Linked DNA regions of Canis lupus familiaris. The protein of the gene in region 2 purifies or fractionates together with the protein of the main gene of each other region. This does not show direct contact. Links are inferred from orthologs where the notes say so. Each region holds a gene or a part of one and is shown on either strand. Other genes may lie near its edges. The genes, in order: MAP4K4, ZRANB1, SLMAP, STRIP1, HECTD1, STRN and STRN3.

The links.
Region 1: the proteins of ZRANB1 (region 2) and MAP4K4 purify together in Homo sapiens (affinity purification with mass spectrometry; 3 studies listed by BioGRID and IntAct, with this or other methods). This does not show direct contact. The link is inferred for Canis lupus familiaris from reciprocal best matches to the Homo sapiens genes ZRANB1 and MAP4K4.
Region 3: the proteins of ZRANB1 (region 2) and SLMAP purify together in Homo sapiens (affinity purification with mass spectrometry; 3 studies listed by BioGRID and IntAct, with this or other methods). This does not show direct contact. The link is inferred for Canis lupus familiaris from reciprocal best matches to the Homo sapiens genes ZRANB1 and SLMAP.
Region 4: the proteins of ZRANB1 (region 2) and STRIP1 purify together in Homo sapiens (affinity purification with mass spectrometry; 4 studies listed by BioGRID and IntAct, with this or other methods). This does not show direct contact. The link is inferred for Canis lupus familiaris from reciprocal best matches to the Homo sapiens genes ZRANB1 and STRIP1.
Region 5: the proteins of ZRANB1 (region 2) and HECTD1 purify together in Homo sapiens (affinity purification with mass spectrometry; 5 studies listed by BioGRID and IntAct, with this or other methods). This does not show direct contact. The link is inferred for Canis lupus familiaris from reciprocal best matches to the Homo sapiens genes ZRANB1 and HECTD1.
Region 6: the proteins of ZRANB1 (region 2) and STRN purify together in Homo sapiens (affinity purification with mass spectrometry; 4 studies listed by BioGRID and IntAct, with this or other methods). This does not show direct contact. The link is inferred for Canis lupus familiaris from reciprocal best matches to the Homo sapiens genes ZRANB1 and STRN.
Region 7: the proteins of ZRANB1 (region 2) and STRN3 purify together in Homo sapiens (affinity purification with mass spectrometry; 4 studies listed by BioGRID and IntAct, with this or other methods). This does not show direct contact. The link is inferred for Canis lupus familiaris from reciprocal best matches to the Homo sapiens genes ZRANB1 and STRN3.

The regions. Positions count from the first base shown.
Region 1 is NC_049231.1:42,329,020-42,333,086, forward strand, and holds the start of MAP4K4 (mitogen-activated protein kinase kinase kinase kinase 4), read right to left. Parts: upstream 2,801-4,067; 5' UTR 2,665-2,800; coding exon 2,608-2,664; intron 2,226-2,607; coding exon 2,160-2,225; intron 1-2,159.
Region 2 is NC_049249.1:34,577,078-34,580,577, forward strand, and holds part of ZRANB1 (ubiquitin thioesterase ZRANB1), read left to right. Parts: intron 1-1,191; 5' UTR 1,192-1,327; coding exon 1,328-1,368; intron 1,369-2,662; coding exon 2,663-3,500. UniProt on the Homo sapiens protein: Ubiquitin thioesterase, which specifically hydrolyzes 'Lys-29'-linked and 'Lys-33'-linked diubiquitin. Also cleaves 'Lys-63'-linked chains, but with 40-fold less efficiency compared to 'Lys-29'-linked ones.
Region 3 is NC_049241.1:32,993,912-32,997,879, forward strand, and holds the start of SLMAP (sarcolemmal membrane-associated protein), read right to left. Parts: upstream 2,801-3,968; 5' UTR 2,122-2,800; coding exon 1,924-2,121; intron 1-1,923. UniProt on the Homo sapiens protein: Associates with the striatin-interacting phosphatase and kinase (STRIPAK) core complex, forming the extended (SIKE1:SLMAP)STRIPAK complex.
Region 4 is NC_049227.1:42,381,655-42,385,154, reverse strand, and holds part of STRIP1 (striatin-interacting protein 1), read left to right. Parts: intron 1-506; coding exon 507-581; intron 582-1,193; coding exon 1,194-1,328; intron 1,329-1,421; coding exon 1,422-1,542; intron 1,543-1,812; coding exon 1,813-1,881; intron 1,882-2,823; coding exon 2,824-2,930; intron 2,931-3,043; coding exon 3,044-3,171; intron 3,172-3,500. UniProt on the Homo sapiens protein: Plays a role in the regulation of cell morphology and cytoskeletal organization. Required in the cortical actin filament dynamics and cell shape. Part of the striatin-interacting phosphatase and kinase (STRIPAK) complexes.
Region 5 is NC_049229.1:10,611,040-10,614,539, forward strand, and holds part of HECTD1 (E3 ubiquitin-protein ligase HECTD1), read right to left. Parts: intron 2,773-3,500; coding exon 2,538-2,772; intron 1-2,537. UniProt on the Homo sapiens protein: E3 ubiquitin-protein ligase which accepts ubiquitin from an E2 ubiquitin-conjugating enzyme in the form of a thioester and then directly transfers the ubiquitin to targeted substrates.
Region 6 is NC_049238.1:29,431,954-29,435,453, reverse strand, and holds part of STRN (striatin), read left to right. Parts: intron 1-722; coding exon 723-827; intron 828-1,955; coding exon 1,956-2,042; intron 2,043-2,147; coding exon 2,148-2,317; 3' UTR 2,318-3,500. UniProt on the Homo sapiens protein: Calmodulin-binding scaffolding protein which is the center of the striatin-interacting phosphatase and kinase (STRIPAK) complexes.
Region 7 is NC_049229.1:10,381,929-10,385,428, forward strand, and holds part of STRN3 (striatin-3), read right to left. Parts: intron 233-3,500; coding exon 65-232; intron 1-64. UniProt on the Homo sapiens protein: Calmodulin-binding scaffolding protein which is the center of the striatin-interacting phosphatase and kinase (STRIPAK) complexes.

The DNA.
Region 1 (4,067 bases), on a different chromosome or scaffold from region 2:
GCAGATCAGTCAAGTACTGACTAACTGTTAAACTGAGTGATCTACTCTCTCTCCTTGTGTATGCTTGCAATTTTCCAGAATAAAAAAAGAACTGCTGGTGAGCAAAATCTCAGGCACTATTCTGTGTGTGTATGCCACTCTTGCACAGATTTCTTAATTCGTTAGGTTTGCATAATTTGAGAATTTCTTCTCAACTGTACAGACTTTGTAGTCAGAGAGCTGTGTCACTGCCAGTATTCCAAATGCTTCCCAACTGCACCACTCAGCAAATCTATTTCAAATGCTTGGGGGAAGGAGGAGACGGAACCAAAGGAAATGAAGAGGGGAAAAAAACTGAACAATGAACCTGCCCAAACTGTTACCATAAAGAACTCCCACCTCTTAAAGCCACTTAATTCATAGTCAGGTTTCACTCTTTCTTCCTTCTTATGGTTTAAAAGCAAGACTGTAGGCTTCTAGTTTACTTCATTGCCCTTCACATCCATCCATGCTGCCTGAGGAAGATACAAACAATCCAACTACTGTGTAACCAGGTCAAAAACAAGCTTTGGCTAACTTACTTGGAAGAGTACACTCACCACTTAGATTTGGCCAGAAAAACTAGGTTAGAAAAAAACCTACTGGGGCTTAAACAAACACTGGGGCTGGGGAGAATGTCTTAGAGCCAGTTACCAGGCCACTCAGTGAGTTGCAACACACTCTTTTCCAAAATTTTCCAAAGGCTTCCAAATTCAGTTGAGCCCAGCAGCCTGAGTTAACAGGGCTTCTTTTCAAATTCAAAAATCTGGCCGCAGCCCCAACAGTTAACCAACAAAACACATGCTAATTCACTTGAGATCACCTAAGAATACAGACTCAAGTTCAGACCACTGGCTGGTACACAGCCTGGTACAGAAGCCCAGGCCAGGGGAAGTCGGGGCTGGGGAGAGACGTTCAAGCGACAGATAAACCCTATTCATAAAGCGTAAGAGAGACAATAGGATCCACACTTAATTTGGCCTAAGAAAATGTCTACAGTCAGCTTCCAACCCCCCTCCCTCCATCTTCAATGAGACAATGACAGTTCTTCATGGTGAACCACAAAGCCTTGCTTCATAAGATATTTTCCTCTAGCCGGACCTTGTATCCACTCTAACAGCTAGAAAACACCCCCAGTGCAGATTACTTTTAGCAAACCTTTAGTAATAAGGAATAAATCAGGACAGGGGAAATCTAACATTCTGTTTCAAATTTTCAAGGCCTGTGCCTCCATTACCTACAGCTCTTTCAAGAAGCTCTACAATGTGCACTGAACAAAACGAACCGCACTGTTAGTCACATCAGGTGTCAGCTACTCAGAGGAGACTCATAGTCTCCAGATTTGTTAGTTTCACTTGGGGGGTGGGGGGGGGGGGGAGTCGGGGTTAAACAAAAAAAAGAGAGAGAGAGAGAGAAGGGCCTGGGGTGGGTGTGAAATCCGGGCATCCTCTTGAGCTCTCCCTCATCTCTGTTTCAATTACACACCTGTCAAACAGGTTATTCCTGGAATTCAGATTTTATAATCCTCATGCTGTAATCCTTCCTGCTCCTGGTGCCCGAACACACACCCCTCTCTGCTTCCCCAAAATATGTATGTATGCATCCGTAGAACGTAGGAGAGAGAGTTAAGAAGCAAGCAGTCCCAGGTAACACCGAACTCCTCACCTTGAGCACTTGGCAAACATCAAAACGAGGCAACATGATGACAATTTTCAAGAAGGCCAAGGCAGTGGTTTAAGATAATCATAGGCCAGGCCTGCCTATACTGAATTTTAATTAACACACACAAACTCAAGAGGGCCGGAACTGGGGAAAACGAAAAGAATTAAAGTTGCCTTGACGGGGAGAAGAAGAAAAAAAAAAAAAAAAATGTTTTCCCATCTTACTGGAGAAAAGTGCATGCCTAAGAGTGTAGCTTATTTCCTTATCTCAAAGCCAGGAAATGAGTGAGGTCCTTTCAGGCCAGCCTGAATATAAACTCTTGTTTAAAAACAAGAGGGACTGCAGGGCGAAACCCCTTTCCCCACTTCGGCCGAGCGGCGTGGCCTGCAGTCGGCGGCGTGTTTACCAGCCGTCTGCTCGTTCCCCCAACCAGAAGTTTCAACGTGCCACGGGAAACAAAGACGGAGGCTCGCACCGACCTTATAGACTTGTCCGTAGGTGCCATTTCCAACCACTTCCACCAGCTCAAAAATCCCAGCAGGATCCTGGTGAAGAGGAGGGGAGGGGTGAGAATTTTAAAAGCAGCACAACAATGAATAAATAGAGCGGGGCGGCGGGAGAGAACGGGCGACGGCACACCCGGCGGGCTTGGCCCCGCGCGGTCCCCCAGCGCCCGAGGGCCGCGCCCGGGGCGCGGGGGGCGCGGGGGCCGCGGGGGCCGCGGAGGGTCGCGGAGGGTCGCGCCCCGCCGCCCCGCACTCGCCGACGCAGGCAGACAAAGGGGCCGCCGCGCCCGCGGCTGTGCCGGCCGCTGCGCCCGAGAGCCCGAGCGCCCGAGCGCCCGAGCGCCCGGCGGGCAGGGCGCGGCCCCTGCTCCCCGCTCCCCGCTCCCGGCGCGCCCGTGGGGGGCTCGTCGTGGCCACTCACCCGCAGGGAGGAGAGGTCGATGTCCACCAGACTTTTTGCAGGGGAGTCGTTCGCCATTTTCCCTTTTTGCCACCAGACGAAACAGTACCAGTAGATCTCTCCGCCTGCCTATCTCTTCCCGCCGCAGGCCAGGCCGCCGACGGCGCCTCCTCGCTCGGGAGCGGGCGGCCGGACTCCGCCCGGAGAGGCCGCGGGCAGCGGCGGCGGCGGCGGCGGCGGCGGGCTGGCGGCTGTCGGCCGGCCCGGGCCGCGCGCGGAGGGCGGACGGAGCGTGCGCGGGGCGGCGGCGGCGCTCACACCATGGCGCGGGGCGGCCGTCAGGCCCCCGGGCGTCGCCCGCGCCTCAGGCCCCGCGCCCGCGCCCCGCGCCGCGCGCCTGGAGGACGGGCCCGGAGCGTGGGGCCGCGGCGCCGCCGAGAGTTGAGCGAGTGAGCGCGAGGCAGCGAGACAAAGATAACCCGGGGGGCGGGGGCGGGGGCGGGGGCGGGGGCGGGGAGGGGGGCGGGGAGGGAGGGGGCGGCGGCGCGGGAGGAGGAGAAACGGGACACCGAAAATATATTCTGAGGAGGGAGAACGCGGCTCCCCCGCGCCCTCCCCGGCAGGAAAAGCGAGCGGAAACGCTCCCAGCCCGAGCCCCGCCGGGGAGGGCGCGGGGCGAGCCGCCCGCGCGGCGTGAATATTCAGCAGGGGTGCGGCCCGAACAATGGCCGGCCGGCGGGCGGCGCGCACCGCGGCCGGGGCGGGGAGGAGGCGCCCCGGGACTCCCCCCGAGGTGCCGGCGCCGAGGAAACGCCCCATCTCGCGCTAACAATACACGGAGCCGCAGGGACGCGGCCCCCGGCCGCAGACGCGCGGAGGCGCACCGGCCCCGGCGTCGCGGGGGCGCGAAGGGGGGTCGCCCCGGGCCCCCTGCCCCTGCCCCTTCCCCTTCCCCTCCCCTCCCCTCCCCCACCTCCGGATGGGTTCTCTACCCCCCCCCCCCGACCCTCATTTCCGGTTTCCTCACACGGTTCTCGTTTCCTATCTTGCAGGCGACGTTTGTGACAGGCGTGTAGGTGCGGCGTCCCCTGAGCATCACCTGGCCGCGGGTCCCGAGGCTCTCCGTGGGAACCGAGCCCAGAACAGCCCCTCTGAGCGCCTGGCACTGCCTTCCTTACCGCGCTCGGGAGGTGAGCCCTGTGGGGGGGGCCCCAAGTGCTAACCCCCGTTTTGTGCCTACAGATCATTAAGGATCGATATAAACAGGCTTCAGCCAGCAACTTCGGAAGCTCGTCGGTAGGTGGGCAGTTTGATCCTGTTAAATAGGGATGAATATATTGTGTGTGCACCACCCATCATTTTTATCACATCGCTCCACAAAAAACTTTGAACGGCTCCCTGTTACCTCGCGGCAGGTTCTTTCTCCAACCTGCGTGCGTCAGAATCACCGGGAGGGATTGTAAAAGCGCCGGTGGCTGACC
Region 2 (3,500 bases):
ATGTACAAATGACTCTCTCAGGTAATCCTCTCCAATGAGTTTGTTTTCATTTACTAAAAAGTGGTATTTCTACAAAGTCTCAATTTCCTGTAGAGTTGATACTGTATATACATCATTATTTAATATCATGTACTTACCTTAAAACTTTTGGAGGATGGTTTTGGTATTGTTTACTTACCTGGATTTTTGAAGAGAGAGGCTATTTACCAGGCATATATGACAATGACTATTTTATGGCAGTTTTTTTTTTTTTTTTTTTTTTTTTTTGTCAGATGCGGACATTTAAATATGTTGTGCTGGCACATTAGTTCCATGAAGATTAGCTAATGTAATGTAAGGTCACAAGCTGTTTAGTTGAGCCTATGAGCATATCAAAGTAAGACTTACTAAAGCAAGCCTGAAATTTTGAATGTGAATATTTTAAATGAAATATGGAAATTACTTCTGGTAGCCTTGAATATATATTCATTATGTCATTTGTTCTTGTCATGATAAGTTTCTACTTGATCATGTTATTTTCCAGTAGCATGAACAACTTATTTATATTTCATTCTTGAGAAACTAAAGGAAGAAACTGCCTGGTGAATATGAAAATTGCCATTAAATTCGATTGTCCCATTTTATGGATGCTTATGATTATAGTTCCTTGCTCTTCACACTTTTGGATGGTGTTAGAGTGTGTGTATCACTGTGTACAAGCTAAATTTCAAAATCTAAGCAATATGAATATAAATAACCTTGGTTAAGGAAAAAATAGAGTTGCTGAAGGAGAAAAAGAATTCAGGCTAAATAAAAGCAATATTTATTTTTTGCTTTTTCTGCTTACTTGGTTTACATCATCTTTCTTCAATAGTAAGTAATACGGGCAGGAACTGACTTAGCACTACTAAGTTAATATTAACCATACCATTAGTGCACATACATGCACGTTTAAGGCTTTAGAGAAAAATGTCTTTCCTATGTCTAATTTGACCAGCTCAATCAGTTAGCTGATTTTTTTTGCTAAATTAATTTGATTTATTAAATTAAAATGCTTAATACATAAAAAATAAAATGCTTAATACAATAATCCATTATTAAAAGAAATGAGTAGATTAAAGGCTTTTTTTTTTTTTTTTTTTTTTTTTAAATAAATACTTCTGGATAAAGTAGCAGGCTTCAAGTGAAACTCAGTTTTGGTTTCCTTTACAGGACTAGCTATTCACAGTCAGACAGAACCACTTAGCACGCTTTGCCAGTGTCTCCTGAGGAAGTCAGAATCTGAGCCAACATGAAGACTGAATCTTGTCTTTGGTCTGATTTATAAAACCTTACTTTTATTCTAACCATGTGCAAGGTGGAGGTTATAGCATGGAAACTAAAACCTTAGTAAGTGTGATTTTTATTTTAGCTATTAAATTATAGCCTTTCTTGTAGTGAATTTGTCCTCTTAATGGAGTTCACACTGTAAATGGGTGAGGACTTGGCAAACAGAGACACAATAATGCACTTAACAAAATGAAAGCTTGAGCTTTTCAGGTCAGGAAAAATCCCTGAGAAAGAGAGGCAAAGGCTTCTGTTACTCTGCCTAGGATTTTTCACTTTTCTGGCTAAAAATAGGTGGCAGGATGATATTAAGTTGAGGGATTTAAGAAAATGAAGAGTCTGGCTTTAGTGTCAGCCATTAAAAGAAAAGTCATTATTAAGTTTGCTGTGGAAGTTACTTCATAGATTAAGTTGGCATTAAATCATGAAGTCTTCATTTTAGTGTAGTGTTAGTAGTAAGCCCAGTCTAGGAAGCTTTTAAATAGTTGAATATATTCTCAGTATGAATTAAATTTTTAGTATATTTTAAATATTGAATATTTTGAGTATGAATATTCAAAATTCTACTGGACTGAGTATATGCTAGTAATTACCTTAGGGACGTTCCGTCGATTTTATTGTCCTAATAGGTGATACACAGTTTTTATCTTTTTGTGCTCCAGACAGAACTAGATTTTGAGGGTGCAGTATTTCGTAGTGTTACTTTTATGAATGTAAGGATTACTTCTTCAACATTTTTCTTTTCTGCCTGTGCTTTTAAGAGCAGTGGATAAGTAAGTAGCATTTTTAAGCTGCTTTTTTTCTTTCTTAGCAAAATGTTAGAATTGACTTTGTTTGATCTTCTGAATTCTTCAGTGAATCAAACATAATGATACTGTACCTAGATAGCATAAGAATCTGTGCTATCATAGATAGTGTTATGTTCATAATTTGAGAATTGTTATGTGTTTATTTGGTTTTTGTGTTCTTTCCATTCTCTTTGAATCTTAACTATTGATTACTTTTCTAAATTGATGATGATGACCTGGCTTAAATTAAGCATTTCTATTAGTAGCTTTTTTTTTTTTTTTTTAACTTGCTTCCCTTTTAGAACAAATCTTTTATCTTCTGCTTATCTCTTTTGCATTCTAAAGTACAATATCATTAAATCCCAAGGTCTAAGATTTTTCCTTGGGACTTATCTCTGGTGTCTCTAATGGAAATTGGAAAAACAAGGATACTTCATTGTTAAATTTTTCAGGCTTCTTTTGAGAGATTTCTATTTTATAAGTTGAAGGGTAGTTTTGTTTTGGGGCACATTTTCAGAGATGAAATTATATAGTTATTGTTTTAATAACCATGTCCTAATTATTTATAGCTCCCTGCCTGACATAACTCACTTCAAGAAGAGCACAATGTCAGAACGTGGAATTAAGTGGGCTTGTGAATATTGTACGTATGAAAACTGGCCATCTGCGATCAAGTGTACTATGTGTCGTGCCCAAAGACCAAGTGGAACAATTATCACAGAAGATCCATTTAAAAGCGGTTCAAGTGATGTTGGTAGAGATTGGGATCCTTCTAGCACCGAAGGAGGAAGTAGTCCTTTGATATGTCCAGACTCTAGTGCAAGACCCAGGGTTAAGTCTTCTTATAGCATGGAAAATGCAAATAAATGGTCATGCCACATGTGCACCTATTTGAACTGGCCAAGAGCAATCAGATGTACCCAGTGCTTATCCCAGCGTAGGACCAGGAGTCCCACAGAATCTCCTCAATCCTCAGGATCTGGTTCCAGACCAGTTGCTTTTTCTGTTGATCCTTGCGAGGAATACAATGATAGAAATAAACCGAACACAAGGACCCAGCATTGGACTTGTTCTATTTGCACGTATGAAAACTGGGCCAAGGCTAAAAAATGTGTTGTTTGTGATCATCCCAGACCTAATAATATTGAAGCAATAGAGTTGGCAGAGACTGAAGAGGCTTCTTCAATAATAAATGAGCAAGACCGAGCTCGGTGGAGGGGAAGCTGCAGCAGTGGGAATAGCCAAAGAAGATCACCTCCTACTATGAAACGGGACTCTGAAATGAAAATGGATTTTCAGAGGATTGAATTGGCTGGTGCTGTTGGCAGCAAGGAGGAACTTGAAGTGGACTTTAAAAAACTAAAGCAAATTAAAAACAGGATGAAAAAGACTGATTGGCTATTCCTC
Region 3 (3,968 bases), on a different chromosome or scaffold from region 2:
ATCCTGTAGACCTGGGATCAAGTCCCACGTCAGGCTCCCTATAGGGAGCCTGCTTCTACCTCTGCCTGTGTCTCTGCCTCTCTCTTTCTCTGTGTCTCTCATGAATAAATAAATACAATCTTTAAAAAAAATTTTTTTTAACATGTCATCTCAATTTATACAATACTCAATATGGATCTAGCCTTAGCCATCACAGAATAACCTTACTGTGGGGGTTTTGGTATAGCCATGAAAAGCACTACTGTTCACGTAATCACTATTTTTTAAATAAGTAATAGAAAATATCTAAGTCTCCTTTGAGTAATGTACCAAAGTAAAGCAGGTGCATTTGCAGATTATGTACTTTAAGCAAACCTATTATTTGATTAAGTTGGACCTTTGCTTAGACAAGAAAAAAGCTGGCTGAGTTAGGGCACTAGCAGTTAATTGATGTTTGAATTTAATAGCTAGAAAGATGGGTTCTATGAATACTCATTTTAAATGATTATGGGTAATCTATGAAGTCTTTCAGACACCCAAACTCTAGTTTCCAGGGAAGAAAAAAAAGAGTCTGTTCCATAGGTAAGTGAACATCTGGTGTTATACAGAAAAATTAACATATTTTTCAGTTCTCATCCTACACAGAGTAGGGCATAGGTATTATGCAAGCACAATCTTTTCCTCCTTTCCTGAAAAATGATTTATATAATAATTCCTTAATTCAGTAGCAACAGAAGTATTGCTTTCTCTCTTTTTTTCTGAGGCTCAGGTCTCTTTCATTTCAAAATACTACTACTGAAAACTTAAATTCTTCTTTTAAAAAAGACATAATCATTTAACTCAAAGAGGGAGGGAAAAGTCAGGAGGTGAAACCCAAGGTATTCCTATTAGTCTTACATAACTTACTCTAAAGTTGGAACTGATTCAGTAGTTCAACTAAAACCCGAGGTAAAAGCACAAAAATGAGTTTTTTTTAGTATATTCTCCACACACATAAAAAGTTCTTAAAATTGAAAGGGACTTATTTGTTTTCTTCTATTCTTAAAATATAAGCACCTACAGGTAAGGAAATTAGGGTGCCAACACAAAAATGCAAAAGGGTCACACTTAAAGAGCATTAAATTCATCCTATCCCATCTAGGTAATGCAGTATTTGATACAATTGGATATAATCTCAGAAAATAAATTAATTTCCTAACACTGATTTTTTTAAGTATCTCCTCTGTAAGTATGCATTAGGTATTTTTAATAAGTTCTTGCAGGGAATGCCAAAAAGTGATTTTCAAAAGCAATATATGTCTGTTCACTCAAGCTGCAAACAAAACTCTGAAAATGTAAAGTTACAGTTGTTTATGCTTAATGAAATTGGCTTTGAAAATTGCAAATTACTCCTTCGTGGGTAAATACACGTATCAAATCTGTCAAAAATGTTAAGTTTACACAAACATCTGTCCTTCCTAGAAAGACCCCAATCTGGACTCAACTAAAAGCTGTGTTAACTACATCTCACCACTGAGACACCTGAGCCTCAGTGTTAACACTGACCATAGATTCCCTGCATTGCTTTGGGAACTGCTGCTTGCTTACTCAAGCCCTGAACGGCAAATTCACCTTTCTAAAAAGACTGGAAGCGAGAAGCCAAGTTTCACTATCTAGTTTCCACCCCCCTCCCCAAAATGAATTAGGGTTTGGGATTTCACTGGGAAGGACCACATTATCAAGATGCCATCGCCCTCCCGAGGCATTTAATTACAATACCTTCTCTGTTTTCCATTCAACCACCTCAACTAAACTTCCAGTAGAACTAGACACACACAAAGTTGGTTTCCACGGCCTTGCTGAAAAGCCTCGCTTGGGTGCAAACGCTGGGATTCTGCATACATTATGCAAAAGGAGCAAAGGGAAACGAAAAGGAAAGACTGTTAGATAATACGGTGACATTACCTTGCCCGTCTTGTGATCAAACCAGACGAGAGCATGGTTCCTTGACAGCACTTTGCAATCAAAGGTAGCATTATTCTGCGCCGGTCGACAGCGGGCCACGGAGCGGCCGATTTTAATAGGCTCGTCCAGATAGACATGGCGCTCCTGAAACGGGTGCGAGTTCGGGCGGCAAGTGAAGATGGCCAAGGCTGACGGCATCGAGGACAGACTGGGGGGTGTCTCTCCTACCAGAGGACAAAGAGGAGTTCCACCGGATCCGGACTGCCCTTCACAAGCCTATCTTCCTATCCCCCCCAAAATTTTAAATTAAAACAAACTGCGCATTGTCTAAGCATAACCAGTGAACATCAACAACTCTTCACTTGAGTGGGAAGACAAGCCAGCGCAAGCCCCATCACCTCCTTTAAAACTCAGCAGCGCCCTGATCGCACAAAGTCCCCAACTGGCAGCTTTCAGTCCATCTTCTTCCCTGGGAAGAGAAGGCTCGAACATCAGACAGCTTCGGCCAAGAAAACTCCTGGAAGACAGTTTGGGGGCTGGAGGTATCCAAGCAGATGAGTCACACGCCAGTTCTTGTGTTTTGTTTGGGATCTCGGCCGCTTTTCCCCCTCGGTGGCGGAAACGTTGCAGCACTGCAGCATGAAGGAACGGTCGGTTCCGTGCGGCCAGGAAGGTCCTTTCGGGGCGAAGGAAGGTGTCGCCGAGCACCTCTGGGCAGCCACCGCCCGTCTTCAAGGGCCTCGGGAGTGGAAGGGCAGGGCCGAGGGGGGCGGCGAGGGGGTCTAGATCGCCAGCGGGACGGTCTGCATGGCTCCTGCTGCGCGGAGGACCGCCCGGGAGCTGGCACGGGGTCCCCGGCACGAGCCGAGACGGCGGCGGCGGCTGGGGTCCTCGGCGCGAGGCGCGGGGACAGGCAAAGGCGCGGGCAGCGGCCGAGCCGGGACTCCCGGGCACCTGGCGGGCGTCCCCGCGCCCAGGGCGGGGATCCGGCTGGGCAGGCCGGTGCGGAGCGAGCGAGGCGCACGCCCGGGGAGGCTCGGGGGTCTCGGCCCGCAGGAAGTTGGCGCCTGGACGCCTGGACGCCTGGACGCCTGGGCTCCGGGCAGTGGCTCAGCACACCGGCCGCCTTGTCTCAGGGTTGCCCCCGCGAGGGTCGCATCTCAGGGACGGCGGCCACGGCTCCCAGCGGACGAGAAGGTGGGGGAGGGAGGCTGGCCCGGAGATTGGGGGAGAGGCCTGGAGGCCCCGGGCTGGGTCCGCCGCAGCCTCCACCACTCGCGGCCGGTGGGGCAGGCTCAGGCTGTGCCCGACAAGGCAGGAAACTTTCCGACCTGGTGGGGAAAACATCAAAACAAACGGCCGTCAGGCGCCGGTGCCCGCCCGCCTCAGCCCGCACCCCCTTCCACCCGCGCCCCCCCCCTCCCCCGCCAGTCCCTGCGATGGGCCACGACCTCGGCCGACCTCTCCGCGGACAAGCTGCGGGGATTTAAGGCCCGGACGCCACGACGGGTCCAGCCTCCCCGGCCGCCGCCGCCGCCTCAGCTTACCTTGCCAGCGCCGGCCGCCATAGTGACTCTGACTGAAACCTACCCGGTGCACCGCCACGGGAACGCGCACCCTTCAAGGGCCCTCCTACCCCCTCTCCCGCGCCGTAGTCCGGGGTCGTCACGTGTTCGACGCCACGGAGGCCATGATGGTCAAGGGCAGAAGAGAGGGCAAGCTCCTTTTTAACGCGCCTCCGGACGCCATGTTAGTTAAGGGCTGGGAGCTTCAGACCCTGGGGACAACCCTTACGGCCATTTTTGTTAAGGGCAGGGGAAAAGTGGACCTGTTGAAGGTTTTCCGGACAAAACGTGCCAGCTTCCTACGTTACCAGCTCGGCTAGAAGACCCCAACTTTTGCTAAATTGTATTCACTATACTTCTCAGTGAAAATACCCATGAACGAAGAGAGCAGACCCATCCGAAGGAGATGTTCATTTGCAGTCATCTTAGCTGTGGGCAACACAGTCCCGTACCGCCGCCTTAGGTGTGCCCAAATTCCCA
Region 4 (3,500 bases), on a different chromosome or scaffold from region 2:
GCAGACAGTGATGCTCCTTGGCCATGCACTCTGTGCCCAGCAGTGGTCTTTCCTAGAGCAGTAGGTCACTCATGAGGCTTGCCAACAAATGTGCCTGCATCTGTGCACATCTGTTACTGCCACTGCTACTCACATGTAATGTGAAGCTAGCCTGAGCTGCTTCTCAGGCCTCCATAGTACAGGTCCTATTTAGGAGGTCAGGGCCACCTGAGAGACACTTATCCATGGTGGCAGTCAGCCTTGTCATGGCATGGTGGGATTGATGTGCACAGGACTGGAAAGGCCTGGATTTATGTGGCATTCTGATTATCGGCTGCTAGCGGGAATCAGCACTCTCTGCATCGTGCACATCAGAGCACTCACACCCCCTTAGTCATTGGATAGTCTGGGAGTCACTGTGATTCAGGGAGACTGGGGCCTAGAAGCAGATGCCTTATATTCTTTGCTACCTATGAGAACTGCTATGGAAGGTGGACGTGGAGCTAATGAGACTTTGTTCTTAATAGAGCTTTACAGCTACACGGAAGGGCCAGAATTCCTGATGAATCGAAAATGCTTTGAGGAGGACTTCCGGATCCATGGTGAGCCGGTTCCCTGCACTTGTTGGTTCCTCTGTCCCTGTGTGGTGAGAGCTGCAGAGTTTCTCTTAGTCATCTGAGCGACTTGAGTCATTCTGGACTGGCCTAAGAGACCTGCTGAACCATGATTGTTCAAGGCCCCCTGTGAGCTTTAGAGGGGGATTGCTGGTACTCTGGTGGTGGCTTTTCAGAGTGTGAATATGGGGAGCGGAGGAAGCTTTATGTGATAAAAATAACATAAAAAATATCAGTGTTTCAGTCTGGAAATCTGTAGAGCAGCAGCATGACCTTCCACCTTATGTAGAGAGTAACTTCTCTTACTGAGTTTTCTGGTCTTGTGGCAGTCTTGAATTTGGTGAGTTAGCATTGTGTTCATTCCATTGTGAGGACTTTTTTTTTTTTTTTTTTTTAAGATTTTATTTATTTATTCATAGAGACAGAGAGAGGCAGAGGGAGAAGCAGGCTCCATGCAGGGAGCCCGATGCGGGACTCGATCCCAGGTCTCCAGGATCACACCCCAGGCTGCAGGCGGTGCCAAACCGCTGCGCCACTGGGGCTGCCCGCCATTGTGAGGACTTTTCTGGGCTCAAGTATAACTGGTCTCTTGCCCTGCAGTAACAGATAAGAAATGGACCGAGCTGGATACTAACGAGCACCGTACCCATGCTATGAGGCTCCTGGATGGCTTGGAAGTCACTGCCAGGGAGAAAAGACTCAAGGTGGCTCGAGCAATTCTCTACGTTGCCCAAGGTACTGAGTGGGCCCCCGGATACCCTGACACTGCCTTCACTGACGTTGCCCAGTCAGATCTGGGGAAGGACTCCATGAGCCCTGTGTCTGCAGGCACCTTTGGAGAGTGTAGCTCGGAGGCAGAGGTGCAGTCCTGGATGCGCTACAACATCTTTCTGCTCCTGGAGGTGGGCACGTTCAATGCTTTGGTGGAACTTCTGAACATGGAAATAGAGTGAGTCCGTCTGAGGAGCTGGAGTAGGGAAGGGGAGGCAGGGGTCGAGGGGACAGAGCTGGCAGGACTCAGGTCTCAGAGGAGGGTGACTGGGCCTAGTAAGGCTGAGGGCGTGGTCCAGGCTCTGTTCTGAGCAGTCAGGTTGAGCTGTGGCCTCTTGTGCAGTCAAAGCACATATATAGTTTTATTCCTCCACTGGGTGGCCCTTGTCAGGGGAACTCCTCCTCTTCCTTCCTGGGGGAAGACTTGACTCCCAAATCTCTCCTGCAGCAATAGTGCCGCCTGCAGCAGTGCAGTGAGGAAGCCGGCCATCTCCTTGGCTGACAGCACAGACCTGAGGTGAGGCAGGCAGCAAGCCTGGGTTCCCTGAGAATGAGATCAGAGCGGGCAGCAGGAGGGTGTCTTCGGGTGCCCTCGCTGTGGGTGTGCTCCTTCTGAGCATGCTGATCTTCATGTGTCCTGAGTCAGCCCTGCAGAAGGTTCTCCCTCGGTGGGCCTCTGGGCTGTATCCCTCACAGGAAACCTAGGGTGAAGCCACTTATTAGAGCCACAATGAGATATGGCCTCCTGCCCACACTTTTGCTGAGAACTTGGTGGTGTGGTACTTTGTGATTGGTGAAATGCATGACGTGGCTACTTGGGCTCCACCTTCTGGTACGCAGCTCGACCCCCATCTACTTGATGATATTTTGTGGCTGCACAGGAGGTAGCAACTGCTGAACAATGAGATCACCTTCCCATTTTTGTGAGGCTTAGCATCTTTGTCTCTGAGTTTGGGAGTTTTCAGACCTGGTGTTGGTGGTCTTCCCCACTATGGTCGGGTCCCTGGGCACTGCCCGCTGGCTCCCTATTTCTGCTCCATCACGGTAGCTTTGACCCCGTGCTGCTTTGTCTGATCTGGCACCTACTTCCACAGTTCGCTCCCACCTCTGAGTTTTTCTTGCTCCAGGAAGCTTAGGACCCGAAATGTTTTGAGCCTTTCTTGTTCATGTTAATCCATTCAGCAACCCATTGATGAAGCACCTGCTTTGATATCCACTTAGCTCGACGCTGCTGAAATATCAAGCAGAGTAAGATCTGGTCAGGATCTTAACAGCAGAGACCAAGAAATGGCACACCAAGAGGTGCTCTGTGGGACTCTTGGTTTTCTCTGCGTCACAGCCCTCGCCCCCAGCTAGCCTTTGTGCAAGCACTTTCCTCATGTCAGCTAGACTGTGGGGAAGCTGGGACACTCCCTTGCTTCCCCATTCTGCACCATTATGAGCTGGCTCTTGTTCCCAGGGTCCTGCTCAACATCATGTACCTGATTGTGGAGACCGTTCACCAGGAATGTGAGGGCGATAAGGCTGAGTGGAGGACCATACGACAGACCTTCAGGGCTGAGCTGGGTAGGCCCCTAGAGATCCTGGGGTGCTGAGGCCCTGCCTGGAAGCAGAGGCTTCTGGCCTTTGGGAGGGTCCTGTTCCTGCTGGTGGGCCTGATCCCTTAGTGTTCCCTCTAGGTTCCCCCCTGTACAACAATGAACCATTTGCCATCATGCTGTTTGGGATGGTGACCAAATTTTGCAGCGGCCATGCCCCTCACTTCCCCATGAAGAAAGTTCTCTTGCTGCTCTGGAAGACAGTGTTGGTGAGCATTGCCTTGAAGGGGAACTCAGCTCCTAGGGATCGGGGCAGGAGGGAGACTTTTCATTGTATATCTTTTTAAATGTTGAATTATGTGAAAAACTATATGTGAATTAATATATAACTAACTGCTTTGACACTTTTGTCTCACTATGGTCAAAGAGGACTTGGCCCTTGGGTCGGAATAGATTGTGGGCTCCCTGACTCCTGGAAGCTGCTTCTCTAGCCCTAAAATGCCTTCTTTCCAACCAGGCTGCTTCTGAACCTGGAGCATATAAAGTGATTGGAGGCAGAATTAGAGCTGGTGTAATCGGGTCCCCTCAGTCAGAGGTC
Region 5 (3,500 bases), on a different chromosome or scaffold from region 2:
AGAAATCAAGAGTCCAATGCTCAACCACCTGGGCCACCTAGGTGCCCCAAATTCTTTTATGTATTAAGTCTTCAAAATCCCAAGTATATTTTATACTTACAGCATATCTTAATTTGGGGTAGCCACATTTGAAATATAAATATGGCTACCATATTAGACACTAGGTTCAGATGGTGAAGCCTGCATAGTAAGTTAAGCAACTAAAGTAACTTAGCAGAAGTTTATACAGGTCTTACACATTAAATAAATAAATAATGCTTGCTATTACATTCATCATCCTCACACTCTAGGAATGTTAAAACATTAAAAATTAACTCTTATTTCCAAATTATGCTGATGCTTAAGGGGTTCGGGTAGAACACTAAAGAGTTAACAGAGTCCACAGATCTTATGGACATAGCAGAAAATTTAGATTTTATTCTTTAAGCAAAAAAAGTGCTTGGGATACCTTTGCTCGGGTCATGATCCCAGGGTCTGGGATTGAGCCCCACAATGGGCTCCCTGCTCAGCAGGGAACCTGTTTCTCCCTCTCCTGCCCACCCCCCGCATCCCGCTTGTGCACACACTTTCTCTGTCAAATAAACAAATAAAAGCTTTAAAAAAAAAAAAAAAAAAACTTGTTTTAAGAAAACTGTTTTAAGCAGAAAAAGATGATATTTCCAGTTAGTAACTGGGAATGGGGCATAGGGAGAGTGTAGAGGCAAATGTAAAAATAAATTCAAGCATTAATATTCAAGAGAGAATGATAGCTTAACTAAGGTAATAACAACAGAGACAAAAGGAAATAAACTAGAAAATCACTTCATTAATAACTACATGTATGGAGAGGAAAAAAGGAAATAAAGGATAAAGCACAGGTTTCTGCCTAGAGTGACTGGGTGAATTTGATGCCAATTATCAAAATAACTGAATCTGCAGTAAAATATTATTAATTCAAACAGCTGGTTGGAGCTATTCAAAAAGCCTTTGAATATGGAGTCTGGACCTCAAGAAAGAGGTCAGGTCTAGAGATAAGATGTGAGGGATATATACAAATGAATGGTATTAATGCTGATAGATGAGATTATCTAAGCAAAGTTATAGTTTTAAAAAGGTAAAAAAAGAAAATACTACCATTTAAGAATAATAACAATAATCAGAAAAGGGAACAAAAAAAGAGCAGGGTATGAAAGACAAGAAAGTTTGAAATTATTATTATTATTTTAGAACTACTTGATGAACACATTTAGATTTTACATGATTTTTTATTTGTGATTCTTATTTCATTCTTACTATGATTCTGCTGCTCTGGGTCAGCAGTTTTCAAACTTTCTGCCTCAGGATCCCTTTATAGTCTTATTATCGAGGGGCCCTCAAAGAGCCTTTGTTTATGTAGGTTATATCTATTTATCTTTACTATATTAGATATTAAAACAAATTTAGAACATATGTTTACTTGAAATAAGAAACTCATTATGTGTTTAACATACATTTTAATGAAAATAATTATTTCCTGAACAGATAGAAACTCAGTGAAAATAGTAGCATTGTTGATAAGAGATCCTCATATTTACTTCTGCATTCAGTCGGTTACGGTATCACATATAGCTTTTCATAAATTCAAGTAGTTCTAATAAACTACTGACCCAGTGCTGGTGCTTTTTAAAGTCACATAAAATTTATAATTAGTCCCAACAGGAATAAAACAAAAGAGCTACTCTAAAGGAAGTACAGAAAAATAGTTAAATTCATGGGCCCACAAACCAGACTTCCTAATTTCAAACTCCTACTCTTCCAATAGTGTTCAAACTCCTACTCTTCCGATAGTGGAATCGTGGCTCTGCCACGAATTATCTGTATCACCACCAATCAAGTTAGTTAACCGCAATATGCTTGAAATTTTTTCAAATAAAATATAGAAATGCTGATATTAGCAGCACCTGCCTCATATAAAATTGTTATAAAGACTAAATGAGGGATCCCTGGGTGGCGCAGCGGTTTGGCGCCTGCCTTTGGCCCAGGGCGCGATCCTGGAGATCCGGGATCGAATCCCACGTCAGGCTCCCGGTGCATGGAGCCTGCTTCTCCCTCTGCCTGTGTCTCTGCCTCTCTCTCTCTCACTGTGTGCCTATCATGAATAAAAAAAAAAAAAAAAATTAAAAAAAAAATTAAAAAAAATAAAGACTAAATGAGTTAACACATGTAAAGTGTTTAGTATAATGTCTGACTCTGATAGTATTAGCTGCTGTTATTACTACTTTCATAAAAAATCATTTTGGCTAAGAACAGGAATAACCTATCTCAAAAGCTACAAGAAACCCAAGAACCAGCACAAAAGAGCAGTATCACTGACCTACAATTTTCTTTTCCTAAACTTCTAAGATTTCTTTTCCTAAACTTTATGGGATCTTTTTTGGTGCCACAAGGACTGTGACTTCCACTGTTGTCAACCACTCTCAATAAAGTAAGAATAATGAAAAAAATTTTCTTTTTTTAGTGAAATGTATTTTTTATTCTCTAGTCATCTTCAAATGGGCCAATAAATACTTAAAACTTACCTTTACACACTGTTCAGCTAAGTCTCTGCTAGTCCTGTTATTAAGTTCAACCACAACTAAACGATTACAAAGTGCTTTTATAGCTCCATCAACCCCAACAATCCTTCGGGTGCATTCTGCAGATACATCCAGGTAGTACGTGATGGCACGAGCTGTCACTTCTAACACATTGTCTGGAGCACTTTCATCAAGAAAAATTTTGCAGAGGGCTGGTAAGAAAGTGCGAGGAGGACATCTGTAGAGAAAAAAATCGTATTACACCTAAAAAATCGTATTACTAAATTCTTCACATCAAAGTATTAACAAAATAATAAATAAAAACTGTAACAATGCATCACATTCAATACTGTGTCTGATGTGTACTAGGTAATATTTCTCACATTGCTTTCCTTTCCAGAATACTCACATGCTGAAAATATCAAGTTATCAACAGTTTAAAGTAGCAGCATTAACTCAAAATCTTGTTTAAAAAAAATTCCTATTCAATACTCAGTTCAAACATCAACTGCTCTGTAAAACCTTCCCTAACCTCCTCAAATCACTAAGTGGTACTTTCATGTTCCTAGAGCCTATACAAACAGTACTCACACTATTTAATCTATCACTTTATTTCTTTATTTACCTTAAAAGGTTCTGAAGGCCAGGAACATTGTTTAATTCATGTTTTACTGGGAATAAGTGCTGACCTGGCATTTAATAGGTAAGGATAAAACATACAACATCTTTGTAACCCTTCTGGTCCTGTTTCCTCATTTGTAAAGCAAAGACAGTATCTAAAAAATATCTACTTTATGTATGATATGAAAGTTAAATGAAATTATACACGTTAAAACAGTTCAGTACATTGGCACAATATTAAACTAACTGACTTTAGCTCTAACTTTTCTCTTATAAATAGTCTAATACCTGCTATATAAACCCATATAAGACGACAGTTCGATCAAAAGCAGAATTTGTGAGGTA
Region 6 (3,500 bases), on a different chromosome or scaffold from region 2:
AGTTGGACACAACTGACTCAGCCACCCAGCTGCCCCGATGACCATTTCTATTACAAGAAAGAAATTGAAGAGGTCAGAAGCTCTCTTTGTCATATTTGTCTTCAGATGATAACTATGTGATAAAGAGCTCTGTATCGGGCAGCCCCGGTGGCCGAGCAGTTTAGCGCCGCCTTCAGCCTGGGGTGTGATCCTGGAGACCCGGAATCGAGTCCCACATCAGTGTCCCTGCATGGAGCCTGTTTCTCCCTCTGCCTGTGTCTCTGCCTCTCTCTCTCTCTCTCTCTCTGTGTCTGCCATGAATGAATAAATAAATAAAATCTTAAAAAAAAATGCTCTGTATCTAGAAAGGTGGAGATTTAAATTTGAGTATCGTCTACATGTAAGTAATGATGGAACTTTATTAAAGCAGTAGAAGTATTGCAGATGATCAGAGAATGAGATAGGTCAGTGACCCTAGGCTAAAGCCTGGGTGGCCCCCATTGATTGCAGGTGGAAAAGAAAATTCTCATTTGTGGGTACTTCTATATTTGTTAGTATGGTATTGCTCAGGCAGTTCTTTTCTAAAACATTAAAATTATAAATAGTCACAGAATAAATGAACTAAAAACAAATTAAAGTCAAATCATTTACTTTTTTAGTCTCCTAGGTGAGTATTCAGTTCCCTTGTGTGAAGAAATTAGTAGTTTTGACTAACTTTGTTGCTCTTTTTTTCTTTTTTGCAGCCAGTTCTTCCTGCCAAATAAATAGAGTCATCAGCCATCCCACTCTTCCCATCAGCATTACTGCTCATGAAGACAGGCACATCAAATTCTATGATAACAATACAGGTAAGTGTTTTGCAAAGTGATCAGTGATAAAGCAAAAACAAAAAACAAAAAAACACAAACCCCACTATAAGTACGCTGATTTGGGTGTCTCTTAGTGGCTGCATAGTCCAAGAGTAGGCATGAAAACAGATATAGACACTCCCAGCTCAATTTCTGTTTAATCTGTCCAAATCTGCTAAGAACTAGTCTTCATGGTACTATATAGAATCATCTTGGTTTATTTAATAAGTAGATACTATGTTTTGTCCCTAGAGTCAAGGTTATGAATAGGGACACAATGAAAAGGTCATTCAAATAGCAATAAAACTGATCTCTTGCTGTGAATATATTGGGGAAAAAGTAGAAACATGTTGGAAGTAGAGGCATATGATCATTCTATCATATTTTGTTTAAAATTGTTCAGTGAAAAAAAAAAAGAAAAAAAAATAAAATTGTTCAGTGTTTGCATAGCCTTAGTGTTGGAGTTGGAAACCCAAGTCATTTGGTTAACTTGATTGACTGTCTGGTTCTGATTGATTTGAATTAGGATGTGTGGGCTTTCCCATTTTTTTATTGAATTGCATTTCACCAGTTTAAAAGAAATTCCTGAAGAGCTGTGTTGATAGGAGAACACTCCATATTATCAGCCAAATTTACCTGAGTATCTACTGTTGACTTTTGCTGACTTTGCTTAGCTGTGAGTGATGAGTAATTTAATATTTTAATCCCTTCCTATATGTTATTTCCACCAAAACTGTGGCCAGATTTTCTCTGTTCCTTTATCTTTGTCTCATTCTCTTCTGTTCTCACAACCCATATAATTTACCTGTAGCTAAAGGATGCAAAGTAGCTGTTTAGTAATGTCTGAGTTAATGAACATGACTCAAAGAATATTTGTGTACAAATGACTAACTTTTATATTGTTATTTGGAAGACACAAATATAATCTGAAATTTGAGCTTTTGTTTTTCTTCATTACCATGGCTAGAGTGGGGAGGGAGACACATTGTTGAGCTGTGATGGAAAAAGCTATTAATGCAGTAAGTATTCAGAGAGGTGACTGGAGAAATCAGTGTAACGTGGTAGCTGGCATATATTTCAGGATAAGGAAAACTATTAATAAAGAGCAATAATCTCTTTTTTCCAAAGGCAAACTCATCCACTCCATGGTAGCCCACCTAGAAGCTGTTACAAGTCTAGCAGTTGATCCTAATGGCTTGTACTTGATGTCTGGCAGTAAGTACATCAACTATGGATTACTTATTTATCCTTATTATTTTCATGTTAATGTAATATTTCCTTTCAATTTCTTTTCTTTTCTTTTTTTTCCTTTTGATGCAGGTCATGACTGTTCAATACGTTTATGGAACCTAGAAAGTAAGACATGTATCCAAGAGTTCACAGCTCATCGGAAAAAGTTTGAAGAATCAATTCATGATGTAGCTTTCCATCCATCCAAATGCTATATAGCCAGTGCTGGGGCTGATGCACTAGCTAAAGTCTTTGTATGACACAATGCATCATCTTCACCTTCTAGCTCTTTATAAATAATCAACTGCACAAAAGAGATACAGAAGACCAGGGCAAGAATCAACCTTTCCTGCCCTTTTGTTCTGCTGAAGGAGCACAGAGAACATTTGTTAAAGTATAGTTTTGCAATTCGTATACTGTTTTCTAAAACTAAGGTTTGTTCAGGTTGCTGCAAGCTCAGCTGAATCTGTGAGCCTGAAAACTGTTTCAAATTTTCCCCCAAATAGGAGCTTTTATTTCTGAGGTTGTTCTGATTCGCTAGGCAGGCCTGAGCGAACATAAGTTTAGCCTGTCCCTATTGAGTAAATAGGGCATGCTATAAGGGATAATTAAAAAGCTTGATGACTGGGAATGAGTGGAGGAAGAACAGAAATTTAGACCTAGTTCTCCCCTGAGAATCTTGTTAAACACATTAGGTAGTCAAAACAGTAATCTTTACCATATCTGCTGTACTAACCCCTATGTGCGTAATGACCAGGCAGTGTTAAAATGAGTTTTTAATTTAGCTCTCCTTTCATCTGTGCACATAAAGCACCTGGCAAAGCATTTTACCTATTAGGGGAAAAAAAAAAAAGAAATGCAATAATATGTTAAATATATTATTATTCAGAAATACTAAACAAATATTTAGTTTGTAAGCAGATTTCTATATTGTATTACATTTTTGAAAATAGATTTGGTACCATTGTAAAGTTTAGCTGTCAAAAACAGTCACCGTTATGAATAGTTGATAAGAGTCTGCTTTTACTAATGGGTTTAACTTATTCAAGTTTGAGATTCTGTTTATTTTTAAGGGCAGGCAGGGCATATCTTTATAATACTCTCTGTTAATTTTAAAATTCACTTTATTCATGTGATATTTATAGTACCAGAATGGTTATCTCCTATCGATGAAATCAGACCTTTCAGTGGTTGAAAAGTTGGAAGTTATCTGTGAGTACTCACATTGGTCAAAACCCACAAACCATGCTTCAGATGACCTCTTGCTCTTTGTCTCTCATGTTCAAATTATCTGACATCTACCAAAAACAGTTTAAAATTATTATGTTTTAACAACCCAAAGGGTTTGGTTAATGTCAGGCAGCTGTCTTTGCTGGACTAAATAAAGCAACTCTTTTGTACCCCAGAAGTCCTCCATTAATATATTCAATAAGGGGAATCTGG
Region 7 (3,500 bases), on a different chromosome or scaffold from region 2:
TTCTATCTTCCAAATTCTAAAAAAATTAGCGTTTTTTTTTTTTTATAGGGCAAAATTTACTTACCCTTGTCTCCATTGTAAGTGCAAATACATGGCAATTTTTCTTGTGGATTCCATAACCTAACAGTGCCATCTGCTGAACAAGACAGTAATTGATTTTTTATGCCACTATAAGCAAGACCCCAGACAGCATCTGTATGTGCAACTAAAGTGCCAGCTAGAACATTTGGCTCTGGGAAGAAACAACAAACAAACACAAATTAGCTAAAAGAAGTTGGAAAAAAATGTTTTGGATAAAGATAACTCACCATATAATTAAGTATAAAGACTACCCATAATGGTCATAAGAAGAACTGAAGTGGTCATCTTTAAATTGTGGAATTATGGGTTATTTTTTATCCCCACCATAATTCTTTCCTGTATTCTTGGAATTTTCTATAAAGAACATACACTTTCAAGAAACAGCTTTAATGAAATATAATTCCCGTATCACATAATTCACCAATTTAAAGTGTATAATTCGAGGGGGCACCTGGGTGGCTCAGCTGCCCAATGCCTAGCTTTGGCTCAGGTCATGATCTCAGGGACCTGGAATCAAGCCCCATGTTGGGCTCCACAGCAGGGAGTCTGCTTGTCCTTCTCCTTGTGCCCCTGTCTGCCCCCACTCTTGCTCGCCCTCTTTCTCTCTCAAACAAATAAAATCTTAAAAAAAAGAAAGTGTACAATTCAATGGCTTTTATTATACAATCGATTTGAGGACATTTCCATCACTTATTAGCCATTCCCACCCCCCACTGCCAATTCTTCCTGCTTTTCTGCAGCCCACATAACCACTAATCTACTTTGTTTCTCTAAGTTTGTCTATTCTGGACATTTCATACAACTGGCCTTTCGTGACTGGCATAATGTTTCCGAGGTTCATCCATGCTATAGCATGTCTCTCAGTACATGAGAGACATGCTATAACATTCTTTTTTTTTTTTTAAAGAATTTCTTCTAAATGCCAAATAATATCCATTGAATAGATATACTACATTTTACGTATCCATTTACCGTTTGATGGACATGGTGGCTAATAATAACACTGTGCACCATCTGGCCTACAATCCTGTTTCTTTAGAAAATTCCGACTTCCCACAACTATTTCTTATTATCTCCAGAATTTTCAGTTTCCAACTTCCCTTCTTCAGAATGATTATCTCTGATTATCGATTTCACTGAGAAAATACAGCAATGAAATTAAGAACCCCTCTCCTGTCTTTCCTCCACTCAATCTACTTACTAGTGTCTAGAGCCACCTTACTCCTTGCTTCCAGATAGAAGAACTGTCTACTTTCTTCTCAAATGATAATTCTATCAGGTAAATTCTGGATTCCATTCAACCTACTAACTTGCTTTCATGTTTATAGTTTCCCTACTATACAATAATTCTCCTTCTCCTTAGGATCATTACCACAGCAAACAAATATGCTCTAGAATCTACTGACTCAAATAAAAACCTTGTATCACCCTTCCAACAGATAGCAGAAGAGCATATTGAGTAAAATGCTTTTTTACCTTTCATTCACTCTCTAAATCAGTGTAACATGGTTTCTCATAGCATCACTACACCAAAATAACTTTTTTTCCACCAAAATAACTCTTGCTAAAATCACCAATGACAAACTTTCTTCTAACAAGTTTAATAAAATTTTTCTTTTCTTAGATTATTTATTTGAGAGAGTGAGAAAACAAAAGAGTAAGCATAGAGGAAGAGGGAGAGGCAGACTCCCTGCTGAGGAGAACCTGTTATGGGGCTCCTTCTCAGGACCCTGTGATCATGACCTGAGCCAAAGGCAGACACTTAACCGACTGAACCACTCAGGTTCCCCAAATTTTTCTTTCTTTGAACATTTCTTTTCTTGGTTATTCTCATCACATTGCTTTTCATCCAGAGTGTGCCTTGAAAAGTTGCCCACAGGTCCCTTCACCCTCTGCTCTGATCTTAGTCCCAGCATCCAACCTCTCGCTAAGACCCAGGTGACCTATTTGTCATATAAAAAAAAAAAAGGAACTTTGCTATCTATCCTCATATTAGACCTCTTAGCAAAATATGAAAGTGCAGATTGCTACCTTGTTCTCAAAATGTTTTTTTCTTTTGGCATGCTTCCATGATCCCACATTTTCCTGTACCTCCTCCTTCCTCACAGGCCACTCGTTCTCAGTTTTCTTTTTTTATAAGATTTTATTTACTTATTCATGAGAGACACACAGAGAGAGAGAGAGAGAGAGAGAGGCAGAGACACAGGCAGAGGAAGAAGCAGGCTCCACGCAAGGAGTCTGATAGGGAACTCGATCCCGGGACTTCAGGATTATGCCCTGGGCCGAAGGCAGGTGCTCAACCGCTGAGCCACCTTGGTCTCTCTCCTTCTCAGTTTTCTTTGCTGGCTCTCCTGCTCTAGTCACTCTCCCAATGTCAGAGTTCCTCCGTACTTGCCTTCCCTTTGTGCCCTGCACAACATAACTTCCCCTGTGTTATACAATCCATTCTCCTATCTTGATTATTAACTACTTGATAGTAGTAACCTGAACATGACTGAAATCTAAAGCCATCATCTTTAATCTTTTCACACCTGTTCTGCCCCCATTTCAATATGCTACCATTATATACCAACTGCTCATGTCAAAAAAATTCAGAAGTGGTGATAAAAATGTCCTGAATTAGTGGTGATGGATGCACAGTCCTGTGAATATAATAAAAACTACTGAACTGTATACATAAAAAAGGTGAATTTTGTCATGTGAATTATATCTTAATAAAGCTGTTTTACAAAGTAACAAAATTAAGAATCACTTACCCATCACTTTGTCCACTCAATCACTATCCACTTTATCACCAGATTCTGCCTATCCTATCTACTTCCCAGTGCATCCCAAATCCGTTTCTCTCCCAACCACTCTGCTACCAACTGCTTCACTGTCCTCATGACCATGGAAACATCACCTTTCACCTAGTCTACTAGACCCTTACACTACAACTTTACATTATAACATTATATTTGTATTCTTTTCTTCACTTTTCCCACCCCAATCTATTCTCCTTATAATAACCAGAGTCACCTTTTAAAATCCACCTTTACTGGTCACTTCCTGGCTTAAAATTCTTTATTAAAAGCTTCTTTTTTTTTTTTAAAATAATTTACTTATTTATTTATCTATTTATTTATCTGAGAGAAAGAGAGAGAGAGTGAGCGAGCGAGCAGGAGGAACAGAGGGAAAAAGAATCTCAAGCAGACTCTGTGCTTAGTGCAGAGATTGTCCCAGGCTCAGTCCCACGACACTGAGATCATAAACTGAGCCAAAACCAAGAGTCAGACACTCAAATGACTGAGCCACCAGGAACCCCTGAAGGTTTCCTTTCATCCTTTAGATTTTGTCTTAAATGTCACTGTTTTGGACTATATCTAAAGAGACTCTCTTTCATATTACTTTTATCTTCATACTGTTTATTACAATTTCTA